Linked DNA regions of Mus musculus. The protein of the gene in region 3 purifies or fractionates together with the protein of the main gene of each other region. This does not show direct contact. Links are inferred from orthologs where the notes say so. Each region holds a gene or a part of one and is shown on either strand. Other genes may lie near its edges.

Evidence for each region.
Region 1: the proteins of Dtl (region 3) and Cops5 purify together in Homo sapiens (affinity purification with mass spectrometry; 6 studies listed by BioGRID and IntAct, with this or other methods). This does not show direct contact. The link is inferred for Mus musculus from reciprocal best matches to the Homo sapiens genes DTL and COPS5.
Region 2: the proteins of Dtl (region 3) and Cul4a purify together in Homo sapiens (affinity purification with western blotting; 15 studies listed by BioGRID and IntAct, with this or other methods). This does not show direct contact. The link is inferred for Mus musculus from reciprocal best matches to the Homo sapiens genes DTL and CUL4A.

The regions. Positions count from the first base shown.
Region 1 is NC_000067.6:10,035,328-10,039,586, forward strand, and holds the start of Cops5 (COP9 signalosome complex subunit 5), read right to left. Parts: upstream 2,812-4,259; 5' UTR 2,684-2,811; coding exon of another isoform or gene 2,592-2,683; 5' UTR 2,486-2,591; coding exon 2,343-2,485; exon of another isoform or gene 2,335-2,342; intron 1-2,334. Other genes in the region: Cspp1 (centrosome and spindle pole associated protein 1), read left to right, coding at 2,812-3,017. UniProt on the Homo sapiens protein: Probable protease subunit of the COP9 signalosome complex (CSN), a complex involved in various cellular and developmental processes.
Region 2 is NC_000074.6:13,143,569-13,146,130, forward strand, and holds part of Cul4a (cullin-4A), read left to right. Parts: intron 1-708; coding exon 709-861; intron 862-2,562. UniProt on the Homo sapiens protein: Core component of multiple cullin-RING-based E3 ubiquitin-protein ligase complexes which mediate the ubiquitination of target proteins. As a scaffold protein may contribute to catalysis through positioning of the substrate and the ubiquitin-conjugating enzyme.
Region 3 is NC_000067.6:191,544,413-191,548,065, forward strand, and holds part of Dtl (denticleless protein homolog), read right to left. Parts: intron 2,212-3,653; coding exon 2,079-2,211; intron 1-2,078. UniProt on the Homo sapiens protein: Substrate-specific adapter of a DCX (DDB1-CUL4-X-box) E3 ubiquitin-protein ligase complex required for cell cycle control, DNA damage response and translesion DNA synthesis.

The DNA.
Region 1 (4,259 bases), about 180 Mb from region 3:
AGATAACATGTCACAGTCACAGCTCAGCCCCTTGGGTAAAATAAAGAGTCTGGGATAAACTTTAATATACTGCTGAGGTGAGGGAGTAATGATCAAGTCCACAGGCCTTTTTTCTCAATCATCATGGAATTATTATACTTGATTACCTTCTTAGGCCTAGCTTTCTGACCTTAATTTACTGAGTTATTAATTAAGTAATTTATTTATTTATTATCTGTGGTACATGTTTATTAGTGTGCCACCAGATGGCATGTGGAGATGACAGGGACTGTCAGGGGTCTTTCTCTACCTTTTGTTTTGTTTTGTTTTAAGACTGCGTTTTTCTGTATAACCTGGCTGTCCAGTAGTCCAGGCTGACCTTGGAACTTGATCACCCACCTCTGCTGAGATTAAATGTGGGTGTCACCATGCCCAGCTCATTTTCCTCTATTTTATTACTTCATCCCCTTGAGACAGAGAGAGCCTCTTACTGAAAGCTCACTGTTTTGGCTGACTGACCAGCTTACAGACTTCCTTTTCTCTGCCATCCTTCAATACAATGCTAAAAGGTTACACACACACATATCCACACATGGATTTTTACAATAGATGCTGGGGATTTGAACTCAGGTCTGCATGCTTGATAGCAAGTATTATTACCTACAGAGCCAGAGGATTTAATTTCTACAATGTTTGCCTCTGAAATTGCCCTGCTTAGGTCTAAAATCTTACACTGACACTCCCTACCTGAGAGAGTAGGGCCACTTAATGTCTATGTCACATATCTATAAATAGGTATGTCACCTATTAGTATGAAAAGTACACAGTAAGTGCTTAGTCCCACAGACACTAAAACCTAAGGTACTGTTATCAGCCTTATTAACCTGTTTTAAGATATTCTCAAAAAAAGTGTGTTAGCTTGTGGCTTCCTTCTGATAGCATCTTGAGAGTGATCTAGTATCTTTACTTCTTTGACTAACCATTGTATGTGATTAAACTCTTGAACAACAGTTTAAAATCCCTGACATACCCTACATGTTAGGATAGCCATAGATGGTGAAGAAGTCTTGAGTTTACATCCACCTAAATCACGCAGCTTGCTTTAGAAACAGCTAAGTAATCTGTGTGGGGCACTCAGCGTTGCCATGGCCCACTGGATGCATGCAACCAAATATAGCTTTTGTTAGATTTCAACCACAAGCTCAAAGTTACTGAGACCATCTTGGAAATCAAGATATAAATTAAAAAACTGGCTTTTCCATCTACTTGGGAAAAAGATAAAAACAACCATTACTATGCTCTCATTACATATGGCTCATCCAGAACTTCTTAATAAATTACCTTATCTCATCTTCATGACATCATTAATAGCTACGTTTAACCTTTATCTTATAGATAAGTTTAGATACTTTAGTTTCCTAATGCCAGTCAACAGTCTAAATGACAGTTATTGAGACCTGATTTTCAGTCTATTGAACCTAAGCTCATTGCTATAGTATGACCATGAGGTGTGTTTCTGAATGTATTTGCTTATTTTTCTATTTACAGAAAGGGAAAGAATCCTGGATTGTCAAGATTATTAAAAGACACGAAAATCTTCAGGCCAGTGCCAGGCCCACAGTAAGAACTCAATAAACACTGAAAACAGAGTACTGACGGTTAAAGCCAGCTGTGCCATCAGAACAAAACACCTGGAGACAGCAAGACAGTCTACTCAGCAACCTTTTGTAATTTTTTTCTTCACTCTCCTTAATACAATTTGCTCTAAAGAATCATTTGACTTGTCGTCAATCCCAAAGATACATGGATTTGGCTGGGGAAAATGCTTCTAAGCTCTCTCTTATAATTCCTGGTTTACATGAATTGTAGTAGTATTGTAGGGAACTGCTAAGAGGATTTGGTATGTGTCTAAAGAGCTGAAAAAAAACCAAACCAATCAATCCAAGAGCTCATGGATTTTTTTTTTTTTTTTAAATCAATGCTCTGCTCATTCGATTTATAAAAACAGCCACGCTCTTCAGTTTGGGAATCTACTGAAGGCTGCAACTAACTGCATGTAGCCACCAGGTTCAAGGCAGAGTGTGTGAGATTTACAAAAATAATCATGTTGACAAAAGTCGCACCCCAAGTCAGCCCTTTACACGCCCTGAAGGCAAGAAACTTTCTAAAAGGGGAATCGAAGCAGGCCCTAGAGGACAGGTAAGGCTCTACTGACAAGGCAGACTAAGGCCACTGTGGCCAATATTCGGTCGACGCCCCACAGAAAGCCAAGCTCACCACACCCTTCATCTCCCACCCCTCGCGGGTCTCTCACAGTCCCGCCATCCCTGCCCTCCCCTGCGTCTCGCCAGGGACCTCCTCACTCCTTAGTCCAGGGTTTCGCCGCCAGGATTTCTTGTTGTTGTTTTTTGTCATATTTGTAGATTTCATCGATACTCTGCGCTTCCTGCATGTTGTTGGCCAATTCCCAGGTTTTCTGGGCCATACCACTCCCGGAAGCTGCCATGGCCGAGGCACCGGAGAAGCTGTCGCTCCACAATCAAGATGCAACTTTCTTCTACTGGGCCTCAGCGTGCGGGCTTTGGACCTTCCCCACCAGGGTGCACACTCACTAGACTCTCAAGGCAGCCATGACACTTGAGACCGGAGGTGACGTTGGTCCAGACCATTCGCGCGCTGGGGCGCGGCGGCGGCGCAGCGACATAGAAAACACTTCCTTAGGGTTGGCTCGGCTCGGCTCGGCTAAGATCAGTCTTGCCGGTGAAACGAGAACATGCTGGCTCGGAAATCCGTTCGTGTGAACTGCGAGGGACGCAAAGCCTCGGTGTGGGAATGGTACAGCCTTTCGCGCCGGAAGGCGGGACTATTGGCCTGCCAGGAAGGAGTCGGCCGGCTCGGCTCGTACTGCGCAGACTCAGATGCCACCATATTGTGTGTAGGAGGAAACTTGAGTTTGGGGAATTATGTTTATGTGAGTGTAGGTGCTTCAAACGAAATAAATTGTTTGGAATACTAAATATCTCTAGAGAAACAGAGGTGTAAGTATCTCCGGATTATTGGTTTTGGAGGGGGAAGATCGCGTGACTCTTTTAAGATAATTTGCGGTGTGTTAAGCCTCCGGGGTTTGTGGTTGGCGTTCCGCTTTTGTGTTTTCGCTACTGTTGCGAGGTGGCAAGCAAAAGTTACCGGTTGCTAAGATTAACTTTTTTAGGGACTTTATAGGGTAACATTTTATACAAGTGTTAGGAGCGGTGAATGCCTTAGGCGCTACTTTTTAAAAAAGGTTTGTCTCAGTGCAGATTTAATCTCCGCAACCTGTGCCTTCCAGCAGTTAATGTGAAATTTGTTTCAGTCGTATTTTTAGGTTTTCTTCCCTCACATTCTCATCCCCAATTGCCCACTAGACTGTAAGTTGAAGGCATGCATGAAATTTGTGTTTTATTTAATTCTAATATATTTAATTTTTTTCGTAACACGGTTCTTAAAGACTTCTCCAGCTTCATCATCTTCTTTTAGCTCCCCCAACCCAGTTTTTCATTCTATTAGAACTTTTTTCCTTGGCTTAGTAATATATTAGTTGTTAGGCATTGCTTGAAATGCACTTCTTGACATTTCTGCTTTAGAGCACACAGATTTTAAAAAGCACAGCTCGGAGATGCCTTTCCTTAACTCTTCGTCAGTAACTGCTCCTTCACAGGAATTCGAAGGCTCTGTAGCTGCTTCACCTGGACCCCGGGGTTTTTGCAGTTCTGGAACTATGTAGTCCAGGCTGGCCTCAAACTCGAGAGCTGCCTGCTTGAGTGCTGGGATTCAAGGCGTGCACCACTACTGCCCGTCTGTATCCTCTTCTAATGCAGGTGCTTTTGCCTGGGCTGCAGGAGACCCTGTTTCAAAAAGTCAAGGAGCTGGGCAAACAAAACAGAGCAAGGACATTGCAACATTCTTCTAATTCCAGTACTTGGGAGGTGGAGAATGGAGAATCAAGAGTTCCAACCCCGCTTTCTCCCTGGACTATTGGAGACAAAATAACGAAACCAAAAATAAAAATAGAATCTTCTTAAAGTATAACTTCGGGCACACTAGGGACATTAGAGTACATTAGTATCTTAAGTTCTTTCTGAGAAGCTTGTGTAAGCTTGTTCCAGTGGTCACAATACACAGCCACTCGAAACATACAGAATAACATGTTGAAATGGTAATGAAAGCCCAGGACAGAGAGTTGACCAGACTGCTGGTGCGGACATTCCTTCTCTCACATCCACACTTCGTGACTGGAGACC
Region 2 (2,562 bases), on a different chromosome or scaffold from region 3:
GTTTCCTCAAGTGTGTATGAGACAAACTGTAGATGGGAGAACAGATTTACAGAACAAGTCATTACCTGGTTGATGTCGCAGGCTGCCCCTCCCACAGACAGACAGTGATGGTGTCACTTGTCCTGAGGCTTTCGGTTTGCTGCACAGAAAGTGTCCTCAGAATACGCACTAGTATGGTCTGAGGAGGCAGAGGGAGCTTTCCACCATCAGAAGCAATTTCAGAGGACTTGATTTTGGTTGCCAGTATGGACACGGTGGCTTACAACCATCCTGTGCTGCTAGGAAGCCCTGATATAAGCATTCTTATAAGAAAAATACATTTTTTTTTAAAGATTTATTTATTTATTATATGTAAGTTCACTGTAGCTGTCTTCAGACACTCCAGTAGAGGGCATCAGATCTTGTTACAGATGGTTGTGAGCCACCATGTGGTTGCTGGGATTTGAACTCCGGACCTTTGGAAGAGCAGTCGGGTGCTCTTACCCACTGAGCCATCTCACCAGCCCAAAAATACAACTTTTAAAATCACTTTTCCAAGTTAGTTTTAGAGTTGTATACCTTGGAAAAGTTAAGAGCTTTCATGGAACAAATTAAAACATAACAAAGCAGAACAAAGCCTGCCTTAGTCTGCATCAAACCAAGTTTGTCAATGCAAAGCAGTCCTGAAGCATCTGTGCCCTCCTTCTGTTCTCCTTTCTCATTGTTCAGGTTGAAGAACAGGTTAGCACTACAGAGAGAGTATTCCAGGATAGACAGTACCAGATCGACGCTGCTATAGTCAGAATAATGAAAATGAGGAAGACACTTGGTCATAATCTTCTAGTTTCTGAATTATACAATCAGCTGAAATTTCCAGTGAAGGTGAGTATTGTGGGCACAGCTGGGGGTCAGGGTGAGTACCGTGGGCACAGCTGGGTGTCGGGGTGAGTGCCGTGGGCACAGCTGGGGGTCAGGGTGAGTACCGTGGGCACAAATGGGGGTCAGGGTGAGTACTGTGGGCACAAATCGGGGTCAGGGTGAGTGCTGTGGGCACAGCTGGGTGTCGGGGTGAGTGCTGTGGACACAGCTCGGTGTTATGTGCTGTATTCATCCCCAACATGTTAGAATCTCAGTGTCCTGGCATTTGACTTATTTGACAGGGCTGGTATGAGCAGAGGCCAGCACACATGAGGGAGGGCAAGGGCCCTGTGCACATCTTCCTAAAGACTCATTGCTTCTCCATGCTGTGTTTTCAGGAGGGAGCAGAGGCCACAGCCACAAGATGTTAGAACACATGTTCTTCCCTCACCATAGTTCTTAAGGCTACTACCCAGGCAGGCCCTTGTGGCAGTGGTGTTGGTAGGTGCTAGATTCAGCATTCACAAACTAAGTAGCATTTCCTGCTTTGGAGATGTAAGTCACCCTCTTTCTTTTAGTTCTAGAACTAAGCGCTGAGGTTCTATAGCATGTGAAATACAGGATGAGCTGGAGGAGCGTTGGAAAAATACATTATAAAATGCAGTCTAAAATGCATTATCAGCTCAGAAGGAATTGAATTCTCAGGACCTGCATCCTTCAGCAACTGGAAGTCCCCTGGTTGCATGACACCTGAGTCACACTGAGACAGACAGATTAGTCAGTACCTCAAGCATAGGTGAGGCCAGTGCCTGGCCGCTGCCCTGCCCTGCCCTGCCCTCCATGATGATGGATGCACAGCCCATGCTGTACTGCGATGTTTCCTACCCCAAGTCAGGGCATCTGTTTGTCAGTTTGCAAATGTTGTAACCTGGTAATTAAGTGTAGAGTGTCATGTGCAAATGGGCAAAGCTCTAGCTCCCATGCTTTATAGCTAATTGTATGGTCAGCCATATCTTGTAACAGGCATGGGCTGCCCATGAAGAGAAGGGTTTGCTGTTTGGGAAAGGATGCTCCCTCAGCAGAAGGCCCCTGCTTCCAAGTCTGAGTGCTCTGCTTCCTCCTGCAGCAGAAGTGATGGCAGAGACATTCTAAGGCTGTGGACTTGGCCTTGGTTTTAGTCATCCGCACAGAGACTGAGTTCTTTGACTGGGTATAGCGGTATACACCTTTAATTCTGGCACTCAGGGGAAGAGGCAGGCAGACCTCCGTGAATTTGGGTCCAGCCTGGTGTACATAGGGAGTTCCAAGACAGCTAGGACTACAAGGATAGATCTTGTCTCACAAAAGAAAACAACAAAGGCAGGGCTGGTATATGTGGCTGGTCCCCTGCTTTCTATCCACATGGCAAGTCAAAGCAGTGAGAACAGGCTCTGTAGTAAGACCTACATAGTGACAATGACACTTTTGCAGTAACTTAGAAAAACACTCAGAATGTGTGGCTGTACTGTGATGTGCCATATCTGGTAAGCATGGACTGACTAGGAGGCTGAGCACATAGAAAAAGTGCTTCACACGAGTGAATGGCTAGAGATGGTGTATACCTATAACCTTTACCTCAGGGAGGCTGATACAGGAGGATTGCTGCAAGTTTGAATCCAACCTGGGCTACTTAGTGAGTTCATGGACAATAGCTCAGACTCTGAGCAGGAGCAGCACGAGGGCCCT
Region 3 (3,653 bases):
TAGGGTACCTAGATTCAGCTTCAAGTATCCACATCTGTTAACTTCAGTCCCAGAGGCTCCAACTCCCCTCTTCTGGCCTCTTCATATATACACGCAGGCAAAATACTCATTAACCCCCCCCAAAACAAAAAACAACCCCCCAAAAAACCCTATTTTAAAAAAAGACATGTAATAGATCTCTCTCAGCAAAAATTAAGTTTTACAGAGCCAATCTTAGTGTATTATTCTGTCCTCACTATTTTATCAGTCTTGTCTTGAATCACAGTTCTTCGACACGCCAGAGTATTTTGTGGGAACTGGCCTCTTTACTGTGTGCATAAATTCAGCTTGTTGGGCTTGATTGGTGCCACTAAGGCATCTTGACAGCTCAAGACAATAGTTTGATAAATACTTTTCTTTCAATTTTTATCCTTAAGCAAGTGCTTAGACTTGTCTAAAGTGAGTTTGTTCTTCCAGTAAAGTCACAGCTGGCAGCGTCACTGTCCTAAGCTGCTATGAAAAGGACGTTAGCCACGGGCATCACACATCTGCTCTGGCTTTGATTACGGTAACTATGGCAGGAATCAAGAAGGGGTCATTGGATGTACTGCTCAGTTCAGGTCGATAATCACGTCCTCCATTTAAACAACCCATATGTGTATTTGCACAGAAGTCCTGAAATACTACATGTCTAGCAACATACCAAGTTCCAATAAGGCTTTTGGGTAAAGAATAAATGGGATAAAGAATAGCTATCAAGTTTTTGATACTCAAAAGCCACATGCTGCAAGTGTCTACTAAAGGTTAACAGAAACATGATACTGGAGAGCAGAGGAGGGACTGAAAGATGGTTAAGAAATTAGGTAATTTCTTCTTTACGATGTTATGATATGGGGTGTCAAAGAGAAGAGTTTGTGAACACTAAAGGTTAGCAAAACTTTGGTAAAATTAAAAGGGTTATACCTTGCAGTTAGTGTTAAGAAAGCCAGAAAACAGCCAGGTAGTGGTGGCGCACGCCTTTAATCCCAGCACTTGGGAGGCAGAGGCAGGCAGATCTCTGAGTTCGAGGGCAGCCTGGTCTACAGAGTGAGTTCTAGGACAGCCAGGGATACACAGAGAAACCCTGTCTTGAAAACACCAAAAAAAAAAAAGGGGGGGCAGTGTAGTTAATAGCAGACAATCTGTTATAGAAGTTGGCTTATAGTGTGCAATGGCTGATGTGCTAGAGAGGTTAGGCTAGCCTCAAACTCACTCTTCCTGAGTACTGGGATTAAAAGGGATGTGCTACCACACAGGCTTTGAAGGTTTCCGTTATACACAAACTCCGTTTTCTGCTACTACTGCTTTCCTGCTGTCCCTCAGTGCTTTAGTGCTAAGGACACTGAGGCAGAGGAGACATGCCAGTGCTCCCCTGCTGCAGCACCTTACCCTTGCCATGCTGTATCTGGAATAGTCTTCCAAATAGCCACACGGCTCACCAAGTACTTCACTTACTTAAGTCAATGAGGCCCCTCTATCATAGAAACATTTGACAGCAATTTCCATTCTTTTCTCTCACTTATGCTACTAAGCAGCTCCTGTTATTTCATGTGTTTATATCTGAGTCTTGAGTCTTCTGGTCATTGCCAATCAAAACTAAGAGTACCTAGTACATGACAGTCCATAAATATTTGTTGGCTAAATCCATTACTGTGCTTTTTTTCATAGATAAACAGAGTTGTGATCTGGATAATTCTCTTCTAAGAAATGCCAAGGGCTAGAGAGATGGCTCAGCGGCTAAAAACACTGACTGCTTTCTCAGAGGTCCTGAGTTCAATTCCCAGTAACCACATGTTGACTCAAAACCATGTATAATGGGATCTGGTGTATCTGAAGACAGCAACAGTGTTCTCACATACATAAAATAAATAAATCTTGAAGGGAAAAAAAAAGCCAAAATGATGCTTTTCTTTAAAAATATTACAAAACAAGAACAAACCTAGGCTCCCATAGTACACAGTAGGACTCAACTAACAAAAGAAAGAAACCACCACCACCACCACCACCACCACCACCACCACCACCACCAAAAAACCTTGGAGAATGCATGCTATCCTTACCTGGGCAGGCTTTCACTTCTTTTTTCTTCTGAGAGGTCCAACCCACTATGGAATGTTTATCACCTGGTTTCTCCTCTAGGCCTCTATTCAAGCGCCAGATTTTCAGTGTATTATCATCAGAGCAGGTTGCAATCTAAGAACCAGGAGGAGAATGTGAATGAAGTTTCAAATAAAGTTTCATAACAAACAAAAAAAGATGGTAGATGAGGGCTCATGAGTAGCGACTGATTTTCTCTGCTGTAACATAAAACAGATGACATCTAAATATCATCTACTTCTCTATCCCTCGTGCTTCAGAATCATCCTAGATTTCCAATGATACAAACGTTGGTTTCTTGCATGGACACGTATAGCAACGGAGAACAGAAAAGTGCATCAGACTCAATGGAAATGAAGTTAGAGTCGTCATGTGGGTGCTGGGAACTAAGTCTGGGTCCTCTGCAACAACAGCAGAGGACGCTCTCTCCAGCATACCATTCTCTCCTCAGCCATTTACACTTACAGGCTCATTTCTTTTTGGTCTCCAAAGAAGATGGGCAACTCACATCTCTAACTTTTTATGTAATGTTATGTAACTATGGTTTCCTTTTATGAAATGATCAATCAACACATATCAATTCTATAAGTTTCTTCTAAATTCTGCATGCTTAATCTTATGGCTAAAGCAACGAGAACATTTCTCAGATGAGACATAGTCTGTGCCTCCAGCAGTCCACAACAAGTGCAAAAGAGCTGCTCTTCGAAGACTCAGAGATGCTCTTTCAGATAGGTAAAGGAGCAATCTGGAAAAACAAAAGTTCACTAGTCTCAAAGAAGTTAAAAATAACCTTTGCCCCTTTAAAAATATCCGACCATTCCTGATCTTGGTCCCAAGCCTTTTATGGCAGAGAAAGCCCAGCTTGAAGAGCTAGAGGCAAATGGCCACTAATGCCAGAGCTGTTCCCCGGCATTTGTTTATACAATTTCTCTATTTCAGTCACTAAACAGAAAGGAAAAAAAGAACACACGTTCTTTTAACTTGTGGCCCCCAAGAGACTGGCAACATTTTCCTTCCCTTACTGGGAGGCCAAAAAAATGTTTGGAACTCCACAATTGCTCTATAGTGACAATAATTATATTTACGGACACCTACTACACGTCTGCTTCTTTACATTCTTTTATCTTATTTAAAAATCCTTTAAAGCAACTACCCAGCTTTTAAAATTGATGGAGATTTGAACTCAGGTCATTATGATTACATAGCAAGTGTTTTTACCCATGGAGCCATCTTCCAGCCACTTACTACTTTTTCATCTTAGATTTGGTTTAAATATTTTAAAAAATCTATATATTTTTAATTGCATGTGTCTCAAAGCTTTTGATAGCAGGTACACAACATGGAGGCCAGATGTGCTGGATCCCCCTGGAGCTGGAGTTATGGGCAGCTGGCCATGAGGCTCCTGATGTTGATGTCGATGCTAAGAACCAAACTCAGGTTGACCTCTTAAAGAACAGTGTTTGCTCTTAACCACCGAGCCACCTCTCTAGACCTTCACTTCAGATTTTAAGATTTATCTTCAGTTCAAAATTTCAACT